Astyanax mexicanus: one gene and its partners. The protein of the gene in region 2 purifies or fractionates together with the protein of the main gene of each other region. This does not show direct contact. Links are inferred from orthologs where the notes say so. Each region holds a gene or a part of one and is shown on either strand. Other genes may lie near its edges. The genes, in order: znf644b, histone-lysine N-methyltransferase EHMT2-like, dnmt1 and cbx5.

Region 1 (7,444 bases), on a different chromosome or scaffold from region 2:
GGTTTTAAGTGGGTTTGTACCTGTGTTGTTACTGGGACCCAATTGGGATTCCCAAGTGAGTGGGCCCATAATTGCCGCCCACTTTAATGTCACATGGGTGTGCATTTATACTTAGGGTCTACATGGAATCTGTGGACAAAAAAATGGTTTCGACATGGTTTAACCATAGAAGCCTCGAATGGCCATGTTATCCAGTTAGCTAGTTAAATGCCACGCTAGCTAGCTGTGTCAAGAAGGCAATCATTGGGTTAGCTCTTACTCTTTGTTAATGTTTTTTTTGTCATGTTACTCTCCTATGTTAGCAAAAGCAGGATAAACTCTTGTAAAACCCTTGATTTTGGAAGTAACAATGAAAAGCAATAAATAGGTGTTGCAATACTTTTGTCCATATGATGTAGTCAGCTAGTTTAATGCAATGCTTGCATGTTGTGATAAAGGGGGGAAAAGTTTGCTCCTGATCTCTGCAAATCGGGGTTTGTTACATTTTTATTTATATCACTTACCCCTGGCACCTACTTTTGGGATTATTTGGGGACTAGATGCCATCAAATCCTCATAGCAATGCTCCAGAATCTAGTAGAAAGCCTACACTGGACAGCGGAGACAGCTATTCCAACAAAGACAGGATAAACTCTTTTGCAATGCCCTTGATTTTGGAAGAAGCAATGAAATGCAAGGAACAGGTCTCAAAACTTCTGTCCATATGGTGTAGTTAGGTAGCTAGTTGAATGCAGTGCTTGCTAGTTGCAATGAAGGAGGAAAAGTTGGGATTTGCTCCTGATCTCTGCAAGTCAGCTCACTTCCAAGCAGGGTTTGTCATGCTTTTTATCACTCTCTCACTCTTTCTCACTCTTTTTTCCTCCCCCCTGGAAGTTGACGCTTTATCTGCTCTTTTACAAGGCTCGTGTCAGGATCTAGCCAAAGCGTTGTCAATCAGCAGCTAAGGCAAGCCCCCCGTTTCCCCGTGTCAGCAGCAGAAGTAGCAGCAGAAGCCCCAGCCCTGCCTTGCCTGCCTTGCCTGCCTGCCTGTCTCCCCCTGCACCCGGCTCGAGCTCAGCTTTGACACTTCAAGCACGGGCAGACGTGCAGCAACTCTCTCTAACAATCATCATCTCTCCGTCTCGCCTCATGTTATCTTCATGCGAGCATTTGTAACTGCAAACACGAGCTCCTGCAACTCCATCACCTCTGTTTTTTATCAATTGCACGCTTTCCTTGTTGAGCGTTTTTAACAAGTGACACGATACTTTTATAGCCAGCCTGGAACACCCCCCACCATCACCATCACCGCAACCCACTAAAAAAAGGCAAGAGAATAAAAATAAAACGAGCTTGTACTAGTCCCGTGTGGAAGCTTGTCAGGAAAAGCCACATTTAGAGAGGTTCAGCAGGCCTGCAGTAACCTGACTGCAGCTCTCACTTCACTTCCAGGCCCCGTAGGGGGTCAAAGCCCAGATGGTGCGGCCCTGCAAGGTGCCCTTCGGCCCACGGTGCAAATAATAAGCAGGAAACACTGATCAGGTTTCTCTTATGGTTAGTTTCTGTCACCCTTAGTGTTTGTAGGCGAAAGCCACTAATTATCCCAGTGTTTTCTCAAGCTGAGCGTCTTGGCTGCTGAAGAGGTTTCGTTTTCAGCTTGTTTTCTTTTCTGTTTGGCTCATTTTCGAACTTGTTGTGAAGTGTGCCTTCGTAACACATGCACAAAAGTGTTCTTTAGATCCTGTGGAAACATAAAACTTCTCTGCCAAACTCACCACAGGTGACTGATTCAGTTTGACACCTCTTTTTTGTGTTGTTTTTACACCTCATCTTTTTTTCTGTTGTTTTACACCTGCATTGGCATTACCATATTAAAGGGCCCTTATTATTAGGAATGTGCCGATCAGTTAAGTTCGCTCTCTGATCTGATCTGATCTGTCTCTGTATGTGGAGTATGATCTTTGTGTTTTTTATAAATATACAGATAAGTATGTTTTTAGTTACTGTTTGTATAATTATACACTCAGGACTTATTTATTTAGTTTAGTGGTGACTAGTAGTGGCTGTTGTATAATGTGTTTAATATTTTATTATCCAGTGTACTGACCGACTAGCATCCAGCTGTAGTGAAAGTCACTTTGTATGTGTGTGAGTGTGTGTAGTAGTATCTGTTGTTGTTTGTTGACTACTGATGTGTAATAACTGTTTTATAGTGGCTAAATGTGCTATGGTTTGGGTTTTAAAGTGTGTGTGTGTTAGCATTAGCATTAGCCTTTACTCTCTTCTGTTGAAAGCACTCTTCAGTGGTGGTTTAAAAACAAAGGAAGGCTTGTAGTCCTGGAATGGGGAGCGATTACTCATTCTGACTTTTTGATAAAGTGCATTGTAAATGTAAATTTTAAAGTTAAAGGGACAGAATAAACAAATATCAATTTAAATATTTTTCTGTTTTTGTTTTAAACATTGTTACTTTTATTGTAGAGTTAGAAAAGGCTTTAAAAACTATTAAAAAAAAGTTAAAGACTTCTTTTCTGCGAGTGTATCCATATACAGTATCTCACAAAAGTGAATACACTCATTTTATTGTACCTTTTCGTGGGACAACACTGAAGATATGACACTTTCATAAAATAGTCAGTGTAAATTTACATGTGTAACCAGTTTAAGTAAATTGTAAATTGGTGTGCCCTCAAAATAACTCAAAACACAGCCAAATTAGCCGTTTTCCCTCATGGCAAAGGATTCTCTGAGGATCTGAATAAAGAATTGTTGCTATAAGATGATTGCCAACACCCTGAAACTGAGTGGCAGCACGGTGGCCAAGACTATACAGCGGTTTAATAGGACAGGTTTCTTTAACGATTAGTTGGCGTAAATGACAACGCCGACTGTAAAACATTGTCTATAAACAATTTACTGCAAGATTGGTCTTAGGGCCTAACTGTTTGGCTCTCCTCACCAGTAGGAAGTAAAAATGGAGGGCATGACAAAAAATAATTGCGACTAATCGACTAATCATAAAAAATAATCGGCAGATTAGCTGACTGCTAAAATAGTCATTAGTTGCAGCCCTAGGTGTTTGTTGAGTTATTTTGAGGAGACAGCAAATTTAAAGTGGGTGTACTCTCTTTGTGAGATTCTGTACGTATCTGAATTTAACTTTGAGCATAAATGCAGGCACACATTGGCTTGTAGCTTCATTTGGTGATGTAGTTTAAATGGCTATGCAGGAGGATTATAATTTGAAAATGATTGAAGTGATTTTTGCAATTTTATGAGAAAAAAATGTATTGCTTGCACCAGAGATACAGAAAAGCTGTTATTGTTGTTATTATTGGCACCAATATATGTAGGAGCAATGTCCTGTAGAAATAGCACAGAAAAAGTTCAGCCGCATCTCCAGACCTATACCCAGATTGAAAATATGTGGATTGATGTTTGGTGTGCTATCAACACTCCACCCTTTCCGCTATGCATACATTTTGAACCTTCAACGTTTGATTATTGCAGGACACCAGTAGGAACCTCTACAACTCCATACAGATATATCTGTCATATTGCTACCTTTTTTTTAATAAGAGCACAAACCACTACCATTTGGTAGGTGTAAGGTAATTACTATATATTACATCAGGAAAATATTGGACTATAGGTTGAGGCTCCATAACTCTACCATGTACTTATTGTACATTATAACTTGATATGTTATATAATTTAGGTTCTTAGGGATTGAATTTTAACCAAAGCTTTTCATTTCCACATTGTACAGCTGAGCAACACATATGCGACTGTGGAGAGAGAAAAAAAAAAACACTAAAGAAAACTACTTAAACAGCTGCCACTGGGGTCACTCGCCTCCTACAGAATAGAGAAACTATCACCAGTGCATTGCAGGCCTACACAACAGAGTGCACATTGTCACCATCATCTAAACAGAAACCTCTATAAAACAGTCAGTGAATCTCTGGCCTTGTAAACGTTTATTGAACAGATGATAATAGTTACCAACGTGAAAGTGAAAAGGTTTAAAATAAAAAAAAAAGAAGAAATTTGAAAAATATGGTGTAATGCAGGCATTTGTGTGAAATGTCTATTTGATGGCAGAGCACAATTCAATGAATTTAGAAGTACAGGACAATGCTTTTGAATAATACATTTATCTTTCTTATGAAATATAATGTGGATCAATCATATTTAATTGAATCAACCTACCAGTGAAATGTTCCGTTACCAAAGCATGATCCATCCACCACCATGCATAACAGAGCAGTGGTGTTTTCATTAAATTTGCCATTTTTCTCTGAACATCACAGATAGGAATCAAATATTTTGCCCCTGGGCTCCATGTTGGCCCTACATATTGATGTCCACCAAAATCAGTATTGGGAGCAGCAGGGGTTAATACACTGGGTTGTGCTCTGGGACTGGGTTGTGCGTAAGGATGGGCCCATATGTGTTGACCGACTCAGTCCCAACACATGTACAAATCCACTCAGAGCCACTGCACACCTGGAACACACCAAGCCCATGTTCCCTATGTAGCTCATGAGCTCACCTGAGCATGTTGGTTGGGATACGTTTGGAGCATTACTGTAAGGATTTGGTTGGCTTGAGTGATGAGGGCTTAAGAGTTAGTAAGGTCAGGATGTTGGAAGATCACCACTCCCGCTCACAAACTTACTTACTTCTCCTCTCATTCAAAAGTATTGGATGAAGCACCATCCATAGTTCCAGGGAACACAGTTTCACTGCTCCACAGCTTAATGCTGGGGGCTTTATACCCCTCTACACACTTAAAAAGAAAGATACAAAGGTATTAAAGGTACACTTTTCATAATTGTACCCTCAATAATATATATATAGGTATAATATTGGTCTTTACAGGTCAAATGTGTTCACTTTGTGTTAGTGTGTTAACACCTCTAACACACTTACTACTTCTAACCTCATTTCCTTCCTCCCCTCCTTCACTCCTCTATCCTATTATTTCCCTTTGACCTCCTTTAGGCCCTATCTAAAGATGTTTTCACCTTTAACTTCTATTACTTTTGTACTTCACTATTGTAAGTCGCTTTGGACAAAAGCGTCTGACAAATGTAATGTAATGTACTTTGAAGTACAGATTTGTACCATTTATCCAGCCAAAAGCTGCATTTTGTATTCTGCATCCAGTACTAATAAACAATATACAGCTCTGGAAAAAAATGAGAGACCACTTAAAAATGATGAGTTTCTTTGATTTTACCAAATTGAAAACCTCTGGAAAATAATTTTGAGGAAGACGGATGATCACAAGCTCACATGCTTAAATGTTTGCCCCAGGAGTGGCATAAAGTTATTCAAAAGCAGTGCGTTAGACTGGTGGAGGAGAACATGCCAAGATGCATGAAAACTTTAATTAAAAAACAGATTATTTCACCAAATATTGATTTCTGAACTCTTAAAACTTTATAAATATGAACTTGTTTTCTTTGCATTATTTGAGGTCTGAAAGCTCTGCATCTTTTTTGTTATTTCGGACATTTTCTGCAAACAAATGCTCTGAATGACTATGTTTTTATTAAGAATTTGGTAGAAATGTTGTCTGTAGTTTATAGAATAAAACAAAATTTTACTCAAACATTTACTTATATTCAGACACTGAAGTGGTCCCATTTTTCCCCCCAAAACTGTATATTTTAATTATACATTTTTCATTTGAAAGCCAGACAATTTTGGATCATCAAGTTCTTGACACACATTAATTTGGTGATAATAGTTTATAATCATTATAATCTGAACTGGTGCAAAAACATGGGTACAAAAAAAAGACTTTCACTGAAAGGTACTCTGTTGTACCACAATATATGGCATGTGGCATTATTTTGCCTTCTAGGCAAGCTGTATGGGCACATTTTCACACCTGTTTACAAGCTGAAAGCATTGATTAAAAGGGGTGACCAGAAAACTTATGGATAAATAGTGAGGATTCCCTACATTTAAGGCAAGGAGAACGCTGTGTGAATGAGAATAATTCTGTTTCTGTGTTTTAACAGAAACAAACCGTTTAGGAGATCTCCAGGTGAAGGTTTGGCGACTGCTGTGTTAGACTGGATGGCACACTGCAGGGCACCAGGGCAGAAGGTAGTCATGACATGTTTGTTATGATTGCATGTGGCACAGCTGGGATTTTAAGCTGAATGCTGGCATTAGAGAACATTTTTTTGACTGATAAGGATTGCTTTTACCAGCCATGCCCTCTGGGCCACAATGTAATATTTTTTTTTATCAGAGGCAGTAGTTTTGCATCAAAGACTTGAACTTTCCTCAGCTCGTTTTCCCCGCTCTGCTGACAGGTGCTCCAGTCCTTACCTGTTTTTCAGGCTCCGTTCTTGCACACTCCGAGCTTGTAAAATTGAGTACAGACAGCCTGTCAGTCGCCATTAGCCTGATTCCAATCCAGGCAGCGGGAGACAAGTTCCTGGATGGTGAGCTCATTTTGCCCAAATTTCTGAGACAAATTTTCAGGCTTGCACTGTTGTAGGCCTCAGGAGATCTCAATCCACCAGGAGCTATACCTGGAAGATTTGAACAAACTTTATTTCCAGTCTTATTGGACCATAAACCGAGCTAGGCAGTGTAATATATCTTATTTTAAGAATGGACCCTGGATTATTTAATTAAAAGGCCACATATTATATATATTTATTTTTTTCTTTTATCAGTGTCTCTATGCATCAAAACCAGCCTCTGTTCATTTGTATATGAACATTTTCATTTTCCATTTATAGCTTTGAGTCAAGCAGTTATTTGCTTCTTAAAGCACATGAAAAAAATGCAGAGGAAAGCATGAAGAAATTGTCTTTTAAAGGATTGGTGTCTTGACAACCTTATTTATATATTCGATTTAACTTTTTTATACACTTTCAAATCAGACTCTTTAGAGCAGAGGTGTCCTGTATAGAACTTGTGTTCTCAGTGTTGACTATTTAATGGAGTTCAGTCATTTATTAAAAGTAAATCCTCTCTTCCAAAACAACACTGACCTATAGCCATGAATAGGAAGACTCTAAGACTCTAAATATAGTGACAGGCACAACCAATCAGAAACTCTATTACACACTTAAAATCCTTTTAATTTCTCAAATATCGACAGTGCACTTTATAATTAGATTGGACTGTAGTCTGCATGTTTGTCGTGTTAAAAAAAGCTCGTGGAATAAAGCGCTAGCTGATAGCACCCTGGGTTACTGAAACACTCAGGGTTCCTCAGTGTGGTGATATCTGGTGGCATTTATGTCCTGCTAGCACTGCGATTAGTGGCTAATGCTAATGCTGCTGCACCCAGCCTTAGAGCTGGAGAAACTTCACTGAAAACTCACCCTTATCGTGGCTTACTGTAAATAAATGGAAGCAATTTACTTACCCAAATACACGATTGCCATTAATCTGTGTAGATTAACATCCAGCGCTTGTTTGACTTTGA
Region 2 (7,615 bases):
TCCTATAATTGATTCAGTCATTTCCATATATATCATTCTGTACCCAACACAAATAATTCAGTATCTACTACAAAAATGACTCAGTAAATCCTACAAATGATTCAGTCGCTACCATATGTATAATTATGTACCCAACACAAATGATTCAGTATCTACTACAATATGATTCAGTTAGCTGTATAAATGATTCAGTATCTACTACAATATGATTCAGTTAGCTGTATAAATGATTCGGTATCTACTACAATATGATTCAGTTAGCTGTATAAATGATTCAGTAACTACCATATATTATTTTGTACCCAACACAAGTGATTCAGTATCTACCTTAAATGATATATATATTTAATTCTACTATAAATATATATATATATAAATATATATATATATATTTAATTCTGTATCTACTATAAATTATTCAGTATCTACTACAAGATGATTCAGTAACTACCTTATATAATTCTGCACCTAATACAAATGATTCAGTATCTGCTACGTATGATTTAGCATCTAATAGACATAATTCAGTTCCTGCTATAAATGACACATTACCTAAAAATAATTCAGTCACTGTTATAACAGTAATATGTAATTGCTAATGGTCACCTGTGTGATGGGGGGTCTGTTCATGGTCTTGCGGGCGCGGTGGACTTTAGGGGGTGGGGCTGAGGAAGAGGAGGATGAAGAAAGAGAGGAAGAGGAGGAGGAGGAGGAGGGGTTTTTACTGCCCGGCCCACATACACTCATCTTCGCTCGACCGGAGGATGCAGACGGAGACGAGGGAGGAGCGGACTTAGCAGCATGACCTGAGAGAGAGAGAGAGAGAGAGAGAGAGATCAGCGGTCACATGATCATGGTGGTGTAATTTGATTGGACACAGCAGAGCTTGCGTGTTAACTGCAGGTTTACCTGTATATGGTTTGGTGAAGCTGGACGTCGCTGTGTTCTCACTGCTCCCCCCATCTTTCTCCTTCTCCTTTAGACTCTCTTTAAAGATAAAGGTAAATTAAGATAAGTCAGGAAACCAACTTTTATTGAGAGACTTTAGTTTAATGTGTAGAAAGTAAGAAGAGACAAATTTGGTGAGACAGACTCCTTAACATGTGTTTCTTTAAATTTTACCAAATTAAAAACCTCTGGAATATAATCAAGAGGAAGATGGATGATCACAAACCATCAAACCACCAAACTGAACTGCTTGAATTTTTGCACCAGGAGTAAAGCAGCATAAAGTTATCCAAAAGCAGTGTGTAAGACTGGTGGAGGAGAACATGATGCCAAGATGCATGAAAACTGAGATTAAAAACCACCAGGGTTATTCCACCAAATATTGATTTCTGAACTCTTAAAACTTTATGAATATGAACTTGTTTTCTTTGCATTATTTAAGGTCTGAAAGCTCTGTATCTTTTTTTTTTTGTTATTTCAGACATTTCTCATTTTCTATAAAATAAATGCTCTAAATGAGAATATTTTTATTTGGAATTTGGGAGAAATGTTGTCTGTAGTTTATAGAATAAAACAACAATGTTCATTTTACTCAAACATAAACCTATAAATAGCAAAATCAGAGAAACAAATTTTCTTATCGTATCTTCCCCTCTGATTTTAGCTGACTCCACCCTAAGATCAAATTTGAAAACAGGTTAAAAAAATAATGTGAAGAGTAGTTTGGGAGGAGCACTTGGTGATGTATGGGTTTAGGGGCGGAGCAGAGTGGAGAGCTGACTGGCCTAAGCAGTACTTCTCAGTGAGACGCGTTTACCACAATAAAAGAGCTTTTTTTTAAAGGTTAGAAAGTGTTTATTAAAATTTAAGCAGGACTGGTGTATTTCATTACTTCTAAGGAACACGTAGGTTAGAGTGTGTATGAAGGAGAGGAGCATCACCTGAGGGTTTGGAGTGCGCTGGTCGGCTCTCAGATGGACTCTGGACAATAAAACAACAGAATAAATCACATTACAGACCTTTACAGGTACTTTCCAACATTATTTTTTAAATTAGGCTGGTTTTAAACGTTGTCAGAAGAGGTTCAGCATGAAGTGCTGTAAGATTTTGACTTTAGACTTGATAATAAAACACAGTGGATCAACACCAGCAGATATCAGACATGACTCTCCAAACCATCACTGATTGGTGGAAACTTCACACTAGACCTCGAGCAGTTTGGACTGTGTGTCTCTCCACTCTTCCTCCAGACTCTGATACCTTGATTTACTTTAAATGAAATGTAAAATTTACTGATGATCAGTGGTGGTTTGGAGAGGCATGTCTGTCATCTGCTGGTGTTGATCCACTGTGTTTTATTATCAAGTCTAAAGTCAGTGCAGTTTTGTTTTCCCACAAAATCTTACAGCACTTCATATCTTACAGCTTCCCTCTGCTGAAAACAACTTTTATAGAGATGCAGATTTCATTTTCCAGCAGGATTTGGCACACTGCCCACACTGCCAAAAGTACAATTGGTCTTATTTTGGGTTTTCATTGGCTGTAAGCCATAATCATCAACAATAAAATAAATAAACTCTTAAAATAGACCACTCTGTTTAATACATCTATATAATATTATGAGTTTCACATAAATACATGTCATAATGTTATAATGAATAATAACAGTAGGTAACTGAATGCTCTATTCACTGCTGTATTATTAGATTATCTACCAGACTGCAGTAATAACACAGTGTTCACAGTTTATATACCTATAAAAACACTATAAACACATATTTACCCCCAGCTACAGTGTTAATAAGTATAATGTTGTGTATTTATCAGTGTATAAATCAGTGTGTGATTAATAATAAAGATAAAGAGCTGTAGATCATTATTTATCCTCTAAACCCGGGATTAATCCGCTCACACTCAGTTAAACTGGTTAAATCAATCTTTAATCTGCTGTTAATCTGAACTCACCTCCTCCATGTCTCTCTCTCTCTCTGCAGCTTTTCTTTATTAAACACAGAAAAACTCAAACAGTAAAGAGATAAAAACACACCGGAGCGGGGCTCCGTTCAAAATGGCTACAGGAGAAACGCGCCTTCAAAATAAAAGTCCCCTTTCGCAAACCGTTTACTTACCCGCCGCGACTCCCACAGACTGAGACAGTTAGCTGAACATTAGCTGAACATTTAACTAACATTCAAGCAACGTTTAACTAACCTTCAATTAGCAATCGCTTCATTCATGTTTAAATAGTGCTCACCTGACATTCAAGCAACGTTCACCTAACACTCACCTGACATTCAATCAACGTTTAACAAACGTTCACCTAACATTCAAGCAATGTTCAACTAACAATTACTTAATATTTTATCAGGTTCAAAAAATATTTAATCAGGTTAAAAAAAAAATTCAAGTAACACTTACTAACGCTTGCTTAACATTTAGGCAACGTCTAACTAACGCTCACTTAACATTTACGCAATGTTTAACTAACAATTACTTAATATTTAATCAGGTTTAAATAGTGCTCACCTAACATTCAAGAAATATTCAACTAACACGCACCTAACATTCAAGCAAGGTTTAACTAATGCTCACTTTACATTTAGGCAACGTCTAACTAACGTTCACTTAACATTTAGGCAACGTCTAACGCTCACTTAACATTTAGGCAACGTCTGACTAACGCTCACTTAACATTTACACAATGTTTAACTAACAATTACTTAATATTTAATCAGGTTTAAAAAGTGCTCACTTAACATTCAAGTAACACTAACGCTTGCTTAACATTTAGGCAACGTCTAACTAACGCTCGCTTAACATTTACGCAATGTTTAACTAACAATTACTTAATATTTAATCAGGTTTAAATAGTGCTCACCTAACATTCAAGAAATATTCAACTAACACGCACCTAACATTCAAGCAAGGTTTAACTAATGCTCACTTTACATTTAGGCAACGTCTAACTAACGTTCACTTAACATTTAGGCAACGTCTAACGCTCACTTAACATTTAGGCAACGTCTGACTAACGCTCACTTAACATTTACACAATGTTTAACTAACAATTACTTAATATTTAATCAGGTTTAAAAAGTGCTCACTTAACATTCAAGTAACACTAACGCTTGCTTAACATTTAGGCAACGTCTAACTAACGCTCACTTAACATTTACGCAATGTTTAACTAACAATTACTTAATATTTAATCAGGTTTAAATAGTGCTCACCTAACATTCAAGAAATATTCAACTAACACGCACCTAACATTCAAGCAAGGTTTAACTAATGCTCACTTTACATTTAGGCAACGTCTAACTAACGTTCACTTAACATTTAGGCAACGTCTAACGCTCACTTAACATTTAGGCAACGTCTGACTAACGCTCACTTAACATTTACACAATGTTTAACTAACAATTACTTAATATTTAATCAGGTTTAAAAAGTGCTCACTTAACATTCAAGTAACACTAACGCTCACTTAACATTTACACAATGTTCAACTAACAATTACTTAATATTTAATCAGGTTTAAATAGTGCTCACCTAACATTCAAGAAATATTCAACTAACACGCACCTAACATTCAAGCACGGTTTAACTAATGCTCACTTAACATTTAAGCAATGTTCACCTAACGTTCAAGCAACAGGGTAGTTTATTTGCTAACTAACGAAATCAGACATTGTCTGAGTAACAAAAATCTAAAAATTCAGTCCAGCTCCTTGGTTCAATAACAAAATCAGACTAATTCATTGTAAATAACAAAATCAGACCATCTTATTGGCTAAAAAACAAAATCAATCTAGCCAATTGCCTATTTATTGAATAACATAATCAGACTAGTTTATTTGCTGAAAAAACAAACAAGCAAGTAAGCTCATTGGCTTTAATATCAAAATTAGACTAGCTTATTGGCTAAGTAGCAAAATCAGACACTGGCGTAACACAAAAAAGCTCATTGGCTCATAACAAGATTCAGACCAATGCATTAGCTGATTAACAAAATCAGACTAGCTTATTGGCTGAATAACAAAATCAGACCAGCTTATTGGCTGAATAACAAAATCAAAGCAGCTTATTGGCTAAATAACAAAATCAGACCAGCCTATTGGCTGAAAAACAAAATCAGACCAGTTTTTTGCTAAATAACAAAATCATAGCTTATTGGCCAAATAACAAAAACTGGGGAGCTTATAGACTGAATAACAAAATCAGACTATCGTATTGGCTGAATAAGAACATCAGAGCAGCCTATTGGCTGAATAACAAAATCAGACTAGCTTTTTGCTAAATAACAAAATCCGACCAGCTTATTGGCTGATTAACAAAATAAGACTAGCTTATTGGCTAAATAACAAAATCAGACTAGCTCATTGGCTGAAAAATGAAATTAAACATGGGCTAACAACTATTAATTAGACATGCTAACAAAATTAGACCACATTATTTAGAGAATAAAATACAACTTAGGCTTGCTTTTTAGCTGAATAACAAAATAAGACTTTGGTTTCAGAACAAAAGTAGACCAGCTGTGATGGGAAGGTTTTATTCAGAGTCTTCGTTAGCTTCCTCAGATTCACTGCTAGAACTGGAGTCCTCTAGGATCAGGTAATTCTGGAAAAACAGAAAGCATGAATTTTCAGAGGCATAATCAGATTAGTTTGAACAGGACTGGGTTCATGGAAATGGGTGTAGATCATCGTGTACAGTGCCATCTTTAACCTCACCTTATTGTGAGCGTCGCCACCACAAGCGTCTGGGAAACACTGTGTGAACTTGACCTCCTTCAGAGGTACAACACTGGTTCCCTTTTCCCCCGATGGTGTTGTTTCAGCCGTCCGACACATTTTCCATAATCTGAAGGAAGGTTTTTCCTTCTTTTCCTTCTCTAATCCGATAGCCGTACGTGCCGCCAGTATGTGGCAGCAGTGGTGAGCCAAGAAGCAAGAGCATCGTTCTTCTGGGTAGACTTTAACAACGTATTTCTGGCCCCTCCACCCCGTTACAAAGAACGACTTTATGCTGGGCTCAAGACTTATTTTGTTCTTCTCAATGATCAGTTCTGCCATTGGTCGCATTGATGCCAGGTCGTACCCTCCTGATGCCTCCTGCTCTGGCATGGTGTCACTGTCATCAGCCAAACTGTTCTTAAAGAAGTGGACAATCTCTTTCGGGGTCATAACAAACTCTGGGAAGTCAACATCATCCATGTCGGTAGCACTTCTGGAGCTTGCGGGAGTGGGTTTGTAGGGCCCCATGTTGCAACTGCTTCTCAAGACTTCGTTTAGGAAGTACATCGAGATCTGGAATGTCGTGAATACAGTCGTTTCCAGTCTGAGTTTCCTATGCCTCATCTGTATCAGCATCATACTGAGTTCTTGAAAAGTACTAGTGATCTTTTCATCTTCTGGTAGGCCAAGTGCTTTGAGGGTAAACCTGGCAGACCTTTTTGTCAGGGCCTCCAGGTGCATCTGGAAGTACTCAAGGAAGGCAGTGCTCCAGGTAACAGAAAAGTAACCAAGTTTAACCCTCCATTGTTCTTCAGTTTCCGAACAAATAAGACTCCTCAAATTGTTCATGTACCCTTGCACATTGTCCTCAATGTCATCCTCTTCACAAAACATCACTTTGTATCTCAGATGGTACAGAACTTGACGGAAGCTGTTGAATGCAGAAGCGTTGGGTAAGACATTTTTGACAGAGTTCTCAACGACAGCCTCGCAATCAGTGCAAATCACAAATCGATTGGAGTTCAGATCTGGCAGAAGACATAGAAGTTCCTCTAGAAATATGGTGTGAGCTCTCTCTTTCTGGCACTGGTGAATGTGGAAAGCTAACGGAAAAGTTGGGCTCTCCTCAAAATCATTGTGGCAAAAAAGAAGAGGCGTCACGTAGAAGTTCTCCAGGTTAAATGTGCTGTTGTAGTAGAGGATATGCGTTACGCATGGATCTGAATTCTTCAGCATCACTTGGAACTGCTCGGTCATCTCGGGCAATGCAGCGACGATAATCACATCTGGGTAAACACTCATATGAACAACGAAGTCCTTCAGCTCCCTGCACATCATTTGAGTCGCCATTATGTCTTTGGGGTTGAGAAAGTTGCCTGACTCTTCGCCAGTGTTTGGATTTTGCTCCATGCTCGCTGACATCAAGGTTTCTGCAAGTGGTTTGCTGTTGACAGGAGTGTTTTCTGTGATCTTCTGCACTTCAGAAACATCAGAAATATCCAGCTCCTCTTCGACTTTCTTGAGTTCCTCTTGAGGCGTGGTTTGTGCAAACATCTGTTGGCCAAACTGGATGTGTCTACGAGGTCTCCGTAATCGTGAATTCTCACCTAAGTAATGTACCAACATGTACGGTCCAACATCTTCAGACATCTCATATATCCGCCTTCTAATCTCTTGACCTTCTCCTCGAGCAACAAAGTATCTCACTGTCAGGTAACCTCTAGGGTGAGGAACATTCCTTGTACCCAAGTTGATCCACAGGGCATTCTCCGGTGTCCAGTCTTGACCTCTATTTCCCTGACCTTTTTGATATTTGTACAAGTAAAGCTCTCCAGACTGGGGATGCGCTGGTTGCAGTGAGCTCACTTTACTTACATCCACATTTGTTAGAATTCGTACCGCCTCATCAGTCGACAGGCAGCGGTTTATGA
Region 3 (7,636 bases), on a different chromosome or scaffold from region 2:
TAAATTAGTGTCTTCATATGAAGGACTTCCAGAAAATTAAGTATTTTAGCTGGTGGAATAGTTTCAAACAGTTCTCTCACGTTTGTAACCCTATAAAAGTCCTTTCTGGTGGTCAAAAGTGCAGGGCAGTCTACTTAGATATGTTTAATTGTTAGAGGAGTATCACAGAACTGGCAGGCTGGAGTCCGTTCGCCAACCAGGAGGTGACGGTGGGTAAGAGCAGTATGTCCAATTCGGCACCTAGTCATCACTGACTGTTCTTGTCTATTAAGGAAGTCCATATTGCATTTTCTATTTATGATTGGTGATATTTCATACAGTTTATTTTGTGGAGTGAGTATAGTAGGCATCTGTAATTGGGACATAGTTCCAAGAAAGGTCCTGGTTTCTTGCTTCCCTTGCTAAAATGTCTGCTTCATCAACCTTATTAACGGTCATCACTGCTAACAGTTTTCCCTGTAAGACTGGTTATCAGGCAGGTAACGGATGATTTGAACATGGCTAAAAGAAATAAACCGTGCACTGTAGAACCTTAAATGTTAACTACAGTACATGTCACTCAGGTGTCACTACTGCTAAAATGTACAAATGGAACAGAAGTTGCAGTGTTGCTGATTGGACCACAGCTACAAAGGAAGATCAGAAATTACATCAGAAGAGGGCTTAATTTAATGAAACAATAAGTAAATGCATGGAGCTTATGTATTTTAGAGAACGATAGGCAACAGGCTAGTCTGGGTGTTCAACTAATAGCCAGTAATTGTCCTGTATTTACCTAAACAGCTGTACACAATCAAAACATGAATATTCCACCACATAGCTTAAGAGTTTAAGATCTGGGTTTATACTAAAAATAAACAACTAACCAAGAAAAATAAATAAATAAGACAGTTACAGAAAGATTCTTTCTCCAGGACACTGTCAGAGTATATAACATACTACTCTTGATAAACTGAAGATTACTAGTTATTTATTAATACTGTGTGCAATAAAACCTGTTTAGCCATTACTTCTTACTACGTGTAATACCCCTATTCACCATGTGTAGCATAATCTGTTTATGCAGAATCACTGGTCACTGCATTCACCAAAATACACATACTGGGGAACAACGAGTCTTAAATTTTCCCCTCACGATTTGTTTTGAATTTTTTGTATTAATTGATTGATAGATAGTCTCTACATTTTCTGATACTTCTATCCTGATGGAACATTGTAAATTTTCCCACTGTGGGATGGATAAAGGATTATTTAAAGCTAATCAAACAGCAGAGGGAATGTTTTGGCCAAAATAAATAAACAGACTTTACTTCGGCCATGCATAATTGATTTTAATAAAGTTTCAGGTGATTATTCAGACATACAGGGAAAAATTAAAACCCCTACACAACAGTATTAGCTAACTGACAATACAGCAACACATGCCATAACAGAGTGGCAAACCCATGTTTACTAATGTACAGTACCAAAAAAAGAGTTTGGACAGATCTATACCAAATATCTCTTTACCCAAAGTATATGCCACATTATAAACTAATTAGCTCTTCAGAGCACATAGAAAAAAGGAGATTTGTTTCACACTGTTCTAAATTCCCCATGATAGATCTACTAGACACAGATAATCTGTCCAGTATCATTCACTTTACTTCAGTCCAGGATATATGAAGATATTCTGAATCACTGACTTCAGATACAAATCTGATAAAATTATTGTATTTTTAATTTCAGTTGGTAGAGTGCCACATCATATTGTATGCAACAACAAATTAAATCATTATTTGGTTGGAGAGTATTCTTAAAATATATTTTTTATTGAGTCTTGTCATATTGCTGGGAGTATTGTTAGAGTAAAAATAACATTAAATATTTAGCTATTATTTTAGTGTCATGTGACACAACCCTAATACAGTTTCTACTTTTCAGAGATGTATATACAGAGAGGGAGATTAAACATGTTTTTTTTTTCTCAAGGAATAGTTTTTTTGTATGTGTATAAGAAATATGTAAAATAATTATATCTTATTATTCATATTCTTACATATTCTCATGGTAACCTTAGTAAATGAATGTTTTCACTTGCTGCCTTTGGGCAACGTAATACAGGTAGAACACAAGCATCATGTTTTGGGAGCTTCCCAGCTCTGAAACACCCTATTCAAACGAATTGCAGTCAAAATATAAATTTATGTCTGACATATCATACTTTTCACACACTTTAGTTATAAGATATGGTTTGACACGGTCAGGCCAGGAACAGCAGCAGCAGCCATCATTTGGCGCCAAATTCAGGCTGCCCGGTGACAGCGAGCTAGCGCGAGCGGGCGCGCGGAGGGGAGACCAAAACAACTGCCTGACGGGTTAGCTTAGCCTAGCATGCTAACTCTAGTTATCAGTCACAGAATTGGCTGCAGTGCTTTGGCGGAGAGCCACAGCGCTAGCTAACCTAACCCGCCTCATTAACAGTAGTTAGAGCCACGTTTCTAACGATATTTAAGCTTTTAATCTTTATTAAAAAAACACACACACACAGCTAACCTAGCTAGCAGCTCAAACCCCGAACAACAGACTAGAGCCTGCTGTGGCTGCTGTGCTACACTGCAGGCTCCAGTCTGTTGTTGGGGGGTTGAGCTGCTAGCTAGGTTAGCTGTGTGCGTGTTTTAACGTTTTAATATAGATGTACAGCAAATTAAAGGTAGTTAGCAAGGTTAGGTAACGCTAGCTAACTAACTAACTAACTAAAGCCCAGGTGAGGTTAGGGTTTACCGTACCGTTCCTTCACATCCTCCGGCAGAGACAGCGAGGTCTTCGCAGGCATTTCAAGTGAGAATAAAAGCGGATAAAACAGCGAATACGTTAAAAACAACAAAAACACAGTGAACAATTAAAAGCGCCAATGTTTAAAACAAGCAGCAGCAGGAAGAGCAGCAGCAGCGGATCGCCGCAAGGGGACACTGGGGCTTTTTAAGGTTTCCCAGCAGATGCGAATGTGCGCGGGCCGCTTTCCCGCGGAAAGACTCGGACTTAACCATCCACAGGAAAAATAGGGTGCCTGCAGATAGAGAGAATACGTCCATTACATTTAAACTTAACTAAAAGGCGAATAAAACGCACCAAACTCACATAATACACTAATAAAACATTTACATTTATGTACAATAAAATGATAAACGACCCCCGCTGATATCCCGTCCTTAAACCATCCATAATCTAAACACCCCTTAATCAATCATGACGATATGGTTTCGTCCGTTTTTCATGTAAGGTAGGTGGTCCTACTGGAGAAACTCTACAGATGAGAGACTGCCCAATGGAAAACGTGCACAGGTTGAGATACCTTTATATACCTATATATATTTAGCTCTGAGAAATATTATCAGTTTCTCTGATATTGCTATTTATAGGTATATGTTTGACTAAAATTAACATATTATTTTATTTTATTTAGTTTATATTATTATAAAATATTGTCATTTATAGCATTTAATTACAGAAAATGAGAAATGGCCGAAATAACAACCCTGTTTTTTAATCACAGTTTTAATGCATCTTGACATGTTCTCCTCCACCAGTCTTACACACTGCTTTTGGATAACTTTATGCCACTCCTGGTGCAAAACGCCAAGCAATTCAGCTTGGTTTGATGGCTTGTGATCATTCATCTTCCGCTTGATTAAATTCCAAAGGTTTACAATTAAAGAGGTTTTATTTTTTTGTGTTTAAAAACACACACACAAAATGACCACTAAAGAGTCCTATGAAAACAGAAAACCAAACGATTTTAAAGTGACATTAAATTCTTGAAGAGCCATTTCTACACTGTTACATTTCTATATTGTAAGATTGTAGGATTAATTGGGCACCCAAATTGCAATGTACGTTTGAAATGATTCCTAACATTTTTATATTTGTAACGAGCAACGATGCAGCAGATAAAAAAATAATATAAAATTAATATAAAAATAATATTAAAATCATAGTAGTGAAGTAAAAGTGGAGGTAGGTGAAAAAAATAAAAATACTTCAGTAGATACAGATACAGCATTTAAGTACTAAGTACTTAGAAAAAGTATAGTTATGAACCTCCATAAAACAGCTCTGGCTGTGTCTTCAGCATCGGCTCTCCACCAACCAATCAGCACAGAGTAGCAGTAATGCTAGCGAATTTGTTGTCCAAAAATAGTCTATTATAGAAAAATGGAAAGGTATATGTAGGTTTTCTTTATTGTTTTAGTACAATACTTAATTATGCTTTCTAAAATTAAAATAATATCCTGGACTAGAAGTTACTATTGTTAATTTGTGTTTAGAAGCCGTTTAGCTCCATTTATCCCATTCATTGAAGACTCCCTCGCGGGCTCCCTCTAGCGGTGTAAAGTAATTTTCTGATTTAAAAGAGAAACAGAAAGTGTGTAGTCTCTTCATAAACCAGCTCTGGTCCTACATGACTTGAATCTCAACAAAGGCGGGAGATTCTCCCTGCTGAATACTGCATCCTGCAGCTGGACTGTAGATCTCTGTGTGTGTGTGTGTGTCTGAAGTGTGGAAATGCTGTCTGTATGGTTTAAAGGCAGGAAGGCATATCTGCCTGATATCTGAACTGAATATATATATATATATATATATTACAAATTACAAATTAGTACTTCAAACTCAAAAGTCATTCAAACTATGAAGGAACACATAAGGAATCATGTAATAACTTAAAATAAGTGTTAAACAAACCAAAATCCTCTGTGAAGAAGCATTTAGGAAAGCTAATCCTGTAAAACAGAGGCAATTCGTGCTCTTTCTTTTACTGGTGTGGTCCAGATGAGTGCCAGTTTCTTTCCTTTTTTTGATTAACTGACCTTCATTTCTTAAAGTACTATATTTCTTTACTTAGTTGAGTAGTTCTTGACGTAAAATGGATTAGAAGATTGCTCACAACTTTACAACTGATGCTCTCGAACACATTAATAGAGCAAGAAAATATTAACAGTTAGTTATTAACACTTGACAAGGGACAGCTGTTAGCTGTGAACTAATTTTTATGTTTTTCTTCATAGTTTTGAGGATTTTAGTGTTAATCTATAATGCGGAACATTTTAAAATAATAAAAACAATTGGATTTAAATCCAATTTCCAAACTTTAGACTAGAGACACCTGAGGTAAAATTTAAAGTAAAAGTTGAAGTAAAAGTCTTGCTTTAGAGATACTTTCTTTTCTGGATTTATGACTGCTGAGGTTGCCGGCTGCAGGAATGACTAACCTGGCTGATAGGCTACTGTCAGCCACAAGTGGGAGGGGATTTCTAATAACAGTGTCATTGTACTTTCCGGCATTGATCATCACATACTTTAAAGGGTTTAAATAGTTTGTCGTTGCATTTAATTCATAAGCCGTCATTGTCTGGGGACTCCAGGCCAGCTTTGGCCCTTGGCAATTGATTAGTTTGCTTGTATTGTTGCAACCATGCTGGTTTAAAGATCTGCCAGCAATTGTATTATACACTATTCAGCCAGTCCAGCAGAGGGAACTGTAGACTCATTTTGCCGAACTCCCCAGTCTTCTATCTCTTCTGTCTCCCAACATCTGTCCATCATGCTGACCACGAGATGGCACTGTTTGAGAGGAGTTTTAGCAGGGCCTGCTGCAGACACATGTGTGCAGTTGGGTGGGGCAGGAGGTTATGGGAGAGTAAAAAGAGATGTAAAAGATCTAGACTGCCAGCTTACAGCTACATGAGTTTGCAGCTGTTCTTCTGTGGTTTATCAGGCCTGATGTCACTTCCTGCTGACAGCTGTTGGCTGTGCTTCCAGCGGTATGGTCTCCCAGGGCCCTGGTGCATGTTCCCACCCAGGAATTCTGGACGTCTGACAGCAACCAGACCAGACCGTCCTCAGAAGCTTACTCACCCTCACTCCTCCGAGGCCCGGACGCTCCTCCTGAGCCAAGAACTCCTCCTGAGGTCTGGCGTCCAGAGGTCAGAAAGAGAAACAAGGCCTTCCCATGATGCTGTTCCCTTCCCATTGGCTCTCATCCTCCTCTTACCTCATATCACCCCCACACTGTTGCTCCACAACACTCCCACATGCCCTTGCAACTGGCAAAGCAACACTGCCCTGTCAACAATCTGAGCTAATGGTTGTAGGCCGCACCACTTTTCAAATCTGGTCATGTCCTAGCGAGTCTGTTCTTTGCTGTGTCGGTGCATGTTTTGCTTCACTCTGCCTATTTGGTTTTTCCAGGTAAGCTGTCTTTTAAATTAGGCAGAGGAAGTTCCCTCGGGTTGGGGCATAACAATAGCTTTCTTGATACCAGACAGAGCAGGGTAATATGACTAAAAACTCAAATATCGATATACAATATGATGAAATAGAGCTGGGTGATTTAGCTAAAAACTCATATGTTGATATACGATACGATACAATATGATGAAATAGAGCTGGGTGATTTAACTAAAGACTCATATGTTGATATACAATACAATACAATAGGATAAAATAGAGCTGGGTAATAAAATAAAAGTATTATGTCACAATATCTAAAGGCAAATTAAAGATACCTGATAATGCATCAAATTTACTGGTGTCAATCTACGAAAAAAAATCTGATTAATCAAAGCAATGTTTTTGTGATTAAGTCTGAAGCATTTAATATTAAAATTAAATAAAAAATGTATATAAATCACAAAAAAGTCTGTGATTAATCATAAAATCCTTTATTGTTGGGAGGAGACAAAATTAATAGTGTAGTGTGGTGTGGTGTAGGCCTATCGGAATAGAGCCTTATTTTTTATTTGTTAAAATATCTCGGGTAGTTTTGATGCTTTTATATTAATATCTTAGAGCAGCAGCTGTGGCAGTGTGTGTGTGTGTGTGTGTGAGAGAGAGAGAGAGAGAGAGAGAGTGTGTGTGTGTGTGTGTGTGAGAGTGAGAGACATTGGGGTTGATTTATTTTGATATGCAGTCCAAATTTGCAAACTACTTTCTAAACATTGCCGTAGAGACAGGTGTTTTTTAGTCTGGCATACCACAAACCACACTATACTTTTATTACTGTCCCCTCACAATAATACAGGCAAATACCAGTATTTAAAAAATGAGTAATGATTATAACAATATGTGTAATATTTTATACTTCATATTGACCTTTTTATTTCATAAAAAAAACAAATGAGTAAAAACCTGATTAAATTAGGATTAGTAAAAATGAGCTGTTACTTTGCCTCAATCGCTCTAGTACTCCTGTTTTTCCAGTACGGTGGGCGGGGCCAAGTTACTGTTTCATTGGTTTATAAACTTGTTAAATGGCTGGTTTATAGTCTATTCTGATGGACAACAGCTCTCAAATAGTTTTATGTGCAAAACAAAACCTTAAAATGAAAGAAAAAAAATACCCATTGTAATGGATGTAGGTTTTAAAAGGGTTAATTAAGCACCACAAACATGCCCATTTTTTGTTTTTGTTCCAACAAGATCCAACAAGATCAAGCCTCTCATGTTAGCTGTTAAATAAATATGTTGTGCGAGTATGATCATCTTTTTGTATTTTTCTTGGTACAATTAAGAAAAATGTATCAAAACAAGTATTGTTTTGGTATCAATATCAAATTTAAAAAGTATCTTATCAGTATTGAACATTTTTAAACGATAT
Region 4 (7,008 bases), on a different chromosome or scaffold from region 2:
AGTTTTGACTGGATGAAAAAAGTAAACTTATTCAGATATTGAATTGTTGTTTTCGTTATAGTACTGCAATATAAACAGATATATCGAATTGTAAAGTATCGTATTGTTAAATTTGCCAATACACCACCCAGCGCTACAGTAAAATTGCAATCTAAATAAACTAGATTTAAGTAAACTAAACAATTAATTAGAAAACATGGGTAAATAGACTAGATTTAAATAGGAACACAGGGAAATAGCAGAAACATGAAATCCAGTAGTACATATGCAAATAAACCATAAAACCTGATAATTATAAGTATTCATCCTTAGCTGGTAAAAGGATTTAATTCAAAGCAGATTTAACACCTGTTTAATAACTGAAATTTGATTTAATTATATTTTGAGTTACTTTGCGTAGAATGAGTAATGTCTATTTACAGGAGCAACAGTTTTAGATCATTTCAGGTAAGAGTTAATTTTTTACCTCCTCCTCTCATGCTGGAATTCTGCATCTCCTGCCTGGAGAGAGCTTTCCTCACTTCAGAGTTGTGGCCGTTTATCGTGTGATATTTCTGAACTAAAGAAAAAGAAGAGAAATCATGATTAAATCAAAGCTTCAAGCAAACAAAAACCCTCATCCACCCAAACCGAACAGCACAATTTACACTTACTAACGATGCGATCTACTGAGTCGTGGTCTGAGAAGGTGACGAAGGCAAAGCCTCTTTTCTTTCCAGAGCCGCGGTCGACCATTATTTCAATAGCTTCGATCCTCCCGAACTGGTCGAAGTAGTCGCGGAGATGGGACTCCTCTGTATCTTCTTTGATGCCGCCCACAAATATCTTTTTTACGGTCATGTGTGCAAAGGGTTTGTTGGAGTCCTGGAACGCAACAGCCGTGCATTTAGAAACGTCTCAAGCCATGCACCCAAAAAGAAAAAAGGTAGATATATTTTGCAGATTTGTAGATACGTACCTCTCTGGACACGGCTCGTTTGGGCTCCACGAGTCTCCCGTCCACTTTGTGGGGGCGTGCGTTCATGGCAGCATCTACTTCTTCCACATTGGCGTAGGTGACGAACCCGAAGCCCCTGGACCTTTTGGAGTTCGGGTCTTTCATGACCTTTAAAATGTACACATACAGAAAGTGGTGTTTTAGTACAATTTTCAAACCAAATGCAAATAGGCATTTAGAAAGCGTATCCTTCTACAGGACTTATTATATTATTATATTTGGGCTATTAGTACAAAACTGGTGAGGTAAAACCAAGAGGAATTGTATAACAAATCACTATTACCCTCCTTATGTAGGCTATTACTCATACAGTATTGTTGGATTTTTTTTTTACAGCATATAATATAACTAATACTAGCAACCTGAGTTTTCACGGGCCCATTTTTACACTACTTTTGTCAATGATATTGTATGCGATATCACACCCCTAACTCAAGATTTATCAAATTTTAACAAAAGTCAAAACATGTCATGATACCAATTTACTCCAGACTAATATCTAGTACTGAAGAAAACCTATATGAGAAACGTGGGGAGAAAAGGTACTCTAACGACTAACATAGCCCTAAATACCATATATTCCAGGGTGCTTATGCGACAACTATTATAAAAAATAATCTGATATTGCACAAGATAATATGGCACACCATTACTGGCATTTTTTGTTTTATTTGAACCTTTTTTTTATACTATTTTTAAATGACCTGTTTGGTTAAGTTACTCATTTACAACGAAAGCCTGGCAAACAGCCGAAGCTACCTGAGAGAATGGCGAATCAAGAACAGACAATGGTAATAAATAGGCTAGATAATGAACAGTAAAATTTCGCAGTGTGGAAGAGAAACGCTCCAGAATAAAGGGAATAAATGAAACTCACCACACAGTCCGTCAGTGTTCCCCATTGTTCAAAATAGGCCCTCAGACTGTCGTCCGTCGTCTCGAAGCTCAGGCCTCCAATAAACAGCTTCCTGAGCTGCTCGGGACCTCGTGCTTTACTCTAACCCACAGAAAAGACACAAAAACAGACGTTTTAAAAAGCTCAAAAATTGTTTTAACACCATAAAACACTTGAAAAATACACGTTTACACAGCTACATAGTGTCAAAAACCTCGCCAATTACTCCAAGGCTATTCAAAAAGACAATTACTGACAAGGCCGCCATGTTAGCCAACCTAGCTAACAAGCTAACCTAGCTTAGCCACATGCTAACTAACAATGCGAGCCTACACGCCCCCTCCTTATCTACAATTAAATATATTATTTAATTAATACGATTAAAATTTCGATAAACATGTCTTATTAGCAACATTAAGCTACTAAATCTGCTCATTTAAAGCAGTGATTCAAAAATGAAAATCCCAAACAGAAGCTCAAAAGATATGGCGACCAGTGTTCTGCCAAATTGTGCAACCATGTCAAATCATGCTACACTTAAAAAAAAAGGTAGAAATATTGCTAACGTTACGTAGATTTGTTAACAACTCCAGACCCTGCATCTAATGCAAGATTACCTTTTTATTGTATATTGACAACACTACTTGATAGATGTTGTAAATTAGAACAGATAATGAACAAAATGTATAAACCAACAAAACTTGGCCCCGCCCACTGTACTGGGAAAGCAGTATAGAACCAGAGATATTGAAGCAAAATAAGTTAATTTTTTACTAATTTAATGATTTAGAACACATTTAAAATCACGTTATTTACTGTTGTGGTGGTTTAAGAAATCAATAATAAAAAAGTAAATCTACAACTACATACACACTACTACACAGGCTTCCCTGTGTGCTATTGAATTAAAATAAAAGATTAAAATATTTTGGATACTTGGCTGTATAAATTTAATTTTATAATCTTTTTTTCTTGCATTACAGACAAAAAAAAAACAGTAACCACATTTTTCCATTAATTGAGATTCATCAGGTCTAAAAAGGTTAATGCGGCCTAAACTAACGCTAGCTAAACAACAAGCTACGTAGTTAATCTAAAAAATGACCAAATTAGAATAAAGTGACGAATAAAAATGGCACATAAAGGCAAATTAAACTAGTTAGTCAGCGCAAGCGCACTGCTAGCAAGCAGCACATAACCGCCGGGTAACAAATTCCGACATAACACGAGCTAGCGGCAGCCCTTACACAAAAACAAAATGGCGGTAGCTACCCGCTAGCATTCGGCTAAATAAAGACAGCTAACCTTAGCCCATTGCCCTCCATTACAAATTATTACCCTGATCATTTAGCTCATAAACTCGATCCCCACATATATTAAACCCCATACACAACTCATAACCACATTAAACCCCGAATAAATGCGAAATAAACTGCTTAACTCACCTCGTTCGACATGTTGCACAGCAGCCCTCACCAAACTGCGCCACACACAATACGACGAAAACGCCGAGAAGGAGGAGAAAAAAAAAAACCCGGTCCATACCATATATCCACACCCCACCCACTTGTCCCGCCCCTGCGAGCTACGATTGGCTGAAAATTCCCGCCACGGTGCTACGCTTACGTTCTTTCATTTCGGATTGGCTTGGATCCGTGTCAATCTCGAGACTTCCACAGCGTAATATGCATATAGACAACTGCTCGGCAGCGAAGGCGTAAAACTGATTTGATTTAAAGACTCAATAAAATGTTATTCTGCTTTTATATTAAACGATTAACGTAGCCCACCTTTCATTTTCTTTTTTACAACAATTCACACGTATATATATGCACATATATCACATATATACGTCTGTGTTGTTCATTCAAAACCACACAGCTAGCTCGCTACAGTCATGGTTGCTTGCCACTCACTATACACGTTCCACATGTTTTAGCTATCTAAATTACATAATATCTAGCTAATATAGTAAATGTTTGTTTTTCTTAGACGATGGCTTTGTTGCACTAGTGACTGTGTTGAATTACTTGCTGCAGGTTTGCTTGTGTCTGCATCGTCTTGTGTGTGTGTGTGTATGTAGTCAGCTACCATTGTGTGTTTTTGGCGCGCTGCAGCTCGCGCACACACACACACGCAGACACACACATACATATCTAGTAGAGCTGGGGCTTCATACCTGCGAGCGAGAAGCGGTTTAACTACAAATCAAGCGCAGGAGAAGATAGATTTCTGTGAGTTTCATCCGATTTCGCTTGACATAATTAATAAGCTATATTTCTGCACGATTTTGACCGATCTGGGTGAAGTAGAGCTGCTGTTAAATTATGGAACAGGGCGATCAGCTTCGCTCGGTCCGTCGTTAAATCGGTTAGCTAGGAGAGTGTTTGCTAGCCGTGTCTCTGGTTAGTGGCTAATTTATATCATAATATGAATCATATTATACTTACTGCAATATATGTAGTGTTTTTGATGCTTAAATCGTGTGAGATTTGAGTCATTCCAGCGAAATAAGCAGTGTTTTAACGTTTTAAGCAGTAATTATGGTAAACTATTTGGATAGCCAACACTTGCTAAGCTAAAGCTAGGCGCCATGTTTTTTTTTTCGCAGCGCCGCAGCATTTTAGTTAGCGTTAGCTATCAGCTTGGTTTAATTTATGAACTCATCATTCTTTCACATTTTAATTTAAATAAATTATTTTTATATCACGTTTAGCTTTATATATCTTAACTACTGGCGTTTGGGTAGCTAGTTAGCTGTTGTTTTTGTAGAAGACACGATAAGTTATTGCGTTAGCTTAGCTTAGCTAGCTAACTTATAGGGTTAACCTGGCGTTAGCTAAGCTAGGTAGCTAACACTAGCTATCTTCCAAAACCCCGGCATTGTAGCTAACACTGGCTAAGCTGAATATATAGTTAACCTTGCATTTTTATGATGGAAATCGATATCGTGCATTATTTTTACGCCAAATTAAGCTTTTTTGGGCGTTTTAAGCACAAGGTTTCACCGTGTGTTCGTTTTAAGTATGCTGTCTAGCTAGCAAGGTTAACCTAGTTAGGCTAGCTTAGCTAAGCTATTGACAATGCCATTGGTATAGTGAGCTGCTGGCCTTAAAATGATCTTCGCAAAAATGTTTACTAACCAGATTTCAATCGTGTATATGTTTTAAACGTCCAGGAACCGGCATAATCAATCAAATATGCTTGTATACACGTTTTAAACCATATAACGACAGTAGCAAGCTGTTGTGCTAGCTGAGTTAGCAGCTCCGTGTTGCAGCCATTGGGTTTCAGTAGGTAACCTTATAGATGTAGGTTTGGTAGGTAACCTTGCTGTCTAAACCATTCAACTAACTATTTTATCTATTTATCTGTATAGTAATTATTAAAGTCGTGTACTTAAACGTTAATTTCTGTGTTTTCAGACTGAATGACAGGTAGTTGCTTACATTTGAAGGTAGCTAGCTTAGCTATCACCGATACTACATAAGTTACAGCTCTAGAAAAAATAAAGCAAGCACTTCAGTTTCTGAATCAGTTTCTCTGATTTTGCTATTTAAAGGTTTATGTTTGAGTAAAATGAACATTGTTGTTTTCTTCTATTATTATAGTAGTATTGCATACTACAGACAACATTTCTCCCAAAATACAAATATAAATATTGTTATTTAAAATGAGAAAATAGACCTCAAATAATTAAAAGAAAACCAACAAGTTCATATTCATAAAGTTTTAAGAGTTCAGAAATCAACATTTGGTGGAATAACCCTGTTTTTTTAATCACAGTTTTCATGCATCTTGGCATCATGTCCTCCTCCACCAGTCTTACACACTGCTTTTGGATAAATTTGGATAAAATCAAGCAGTTCAGCTGGAGATCATCCGTCTTCCACTTGATTATATTCCAGAGGGTTTCAATTTGGTAAAATCAAAGCAATCATTTTTATGTAGTCTCTTGTTTTTTCAGAGCTGTATATTAATGTATTTTTCATTCATTCTGTAAGTCAGGTAAAGTAAGTCAGGTGTGTTAAAGTGTCATTTTTAATACACTTGAAGTATACTCTAAATGTACTATACACGTACACCTATTCTGTGCACCTTAATGTCCCTATAAATGTTTTCTATCAACACAATGTTTAATTTAAAGCACTTCTAACTTCTCTGTTTTATATTCAGGGGAGGGCAGGCTGCCTGCTGTGGCTTTTCCTTAGTTTTGAGCCTGATCTGCAGTCCCAGAGAAAGGTAAGCACTAAAATATGTTGGCATTAGTGGCATCTGTATAGTATCACACAAGTTTACTGTTCTACTCTTCTTAAAAAATAACAACACTGTCCATTAAACAAAAAATAAATACATGTGTCAAAACACCTGAAAAACTATTTCAATTGATTACCTATTATTTCCATGTTATCTTAAGTCATCCCTATAACATTTCACTTTATGTGGATGGCAAAAACTTACTGAATATGAGATTTTAATTTCATTTAGAAAATACAGGACATTCACCACTTATCTCAGTACAAGTTGAAATTCACAAAAACACTAAATTTCATATACAGATATATTTATTCAGTAAAAGTAGCTGCTGTGACCCCTCAAAGACGCCTCGTTAGATTCTGTGCCATCTCTCACCTCCTTATTCTCATGTAAAATTGCACATTTACATGACATTGCACTTAACATTTTAAGGCAGTGGTTGATACTGTGAATTGACTTCATTTGATTGGTGATGTGAAACATTGCTCTTTTGTGTTTTTGTTTGCGGATCAGTTTAGCAGTATAACTTTAAATATACATCACAACATAGACAGAAGCAAAACTCATTTTCAGAGGAAATTGGTGAACATATCTGAAGTTTCTCTCAGTAATAATGACACCCGACACAATAGTCAATAAATTATATGCAGCATAATAATCAGAATTAAAGATACAACCATAAACAAGCTTTTATGAAATTCGTTCTGCAGTGCAGTTATTACTAATGTTATTCCAGTCAAAAAACTGCCTCAAGATTGGATTGGATTTATCCTTTCCTAACGATTGTTCTCTCTTTTTCTTTTCTCTCTATCTCTTTTTCATATCAGTAGCAGAGGGAACATTTTCCCCTTATTTGGCC

The links.
Region 1: the proteins of histone-lysine N-methyltransferase EHMT2-like (region 2) and znf644b purify together in Homo sapiens (affinity purification with mass spectrometry; 3 studies listed by BioGRID and IntAct, with this or other methods). This does not show direct contact. The link is inferred for Astyanax mexicanus from reciprocal best matches to the Homo sapiens genes EHMT2 and ZNF644.
Region 3: the proteins of histone-lysine N-methyltransferase EHMT2-like (region 2) and dnmt1 purify together in Homo sapiens (affinity purification with western blotting; 3 studies listed by BioGRID, with this or other methods). This does not show direct contact. The link is inferred for Astyanax mexicanus from reciprocal best matches to the Homo sapiens genes EHMT2 and DNMT1.
Region 4: the proteins of histone-lysine N-methyltransferase EHMT2-like (region 2) and cbx5 purify together in Homo sapiens (affinity purification with mass spectrometry; 3 studies listed by BioGRID and IntAct, with this or other methods). This does not show direct contact. The link is inferred for Astyanax mexicanus from reciprocal best matches to the Homo sapiens genes EHMT2 and CBX5.

The regions. Positions count from the first base shown.
Region 1 is NC_064412.1:51,070,064-51,077,507, reverse strand, and holds the start of znf644b (zinc finger protein 644), read left to right. Parts: upstream 1-4,420; coding exon 4,421-4,459; intron 4,460-6,067; coding exon 6,068-6,102; intron 6,103-7,444.
Region 2 is NW_026040041.1:5,516,379-5,523,993, forward strand, and holds the start of histone-lysine N-methyltransferase EHMT2-like, read right to left. Parts: upstream 3,019-7,615; 5' UTR 2,923-3,018; coding exon 2,914-2,922; intron 1,930-2,913; coding exon 1,890-1,929; intron 988-1,889; coding exon 910-987; intron 807-909; coding exon 607-806; intron 1-606. Other genes in the region: uncharacterized protein LOC111190472, read right to left, coding at 5,500-5,568, 5,682-7,615. UniProt on the Homo sapiens protein: Histone methyltransferase that specifically mono- and dimethylates 'Lys-9' of histone H3 (H3K9me1 and H3K9me2, respectively) in euchromatin.
Region 3 is NC_064410.1:3,868,442-3,876,077, reverse strand, and holds the start of dnmt1 (DNA (cytosine-5)-methyltransferase 1), read right to left. Parts: upstream 3,001-7,636; 5' UTR 2,816-3,000; coding exon 2,769-2,815; intron 1-2,768. UniProt on the Homo sapiens protein: Methylates CpG residues. Preferentially methylates hemimethylated DNA. Associates with DNA replication sites in S phase maintaining the methylation pattern in the newly synthesized strand, that is essential for epigenetic inheritance.
Region 4 is NC_064420.1:885,798-892,805, forward strand, and holds the start of cbx5 (chromobox protein homolog 5), read left to right. Parts: upstream 1-4,003; 5' UTR 4,004-4,126; intron 4,127-6,068; 5' UTR 6,069-6,134; intron 6,135-6,976; 5' UTR 6,977-7,008. Other genes in the region: hnrnpa1b (heterogeneous nuclear ribonucleoprotein A1b), read right to left, coding at 467-559, 654-864, 959-1,105, 1,875-1,994, 3,338-3,349. UniProt on the Homo sapiens protein: Component of heterochromatin that recognizes and binds histone H3 tails methylated at 'Lys-9' (H3K9me), leading to epigenetic repression. In contrast, it is excluded from chromatin when 'Tyr-41' of histone H3 is phosphorylated (H3Y41ph).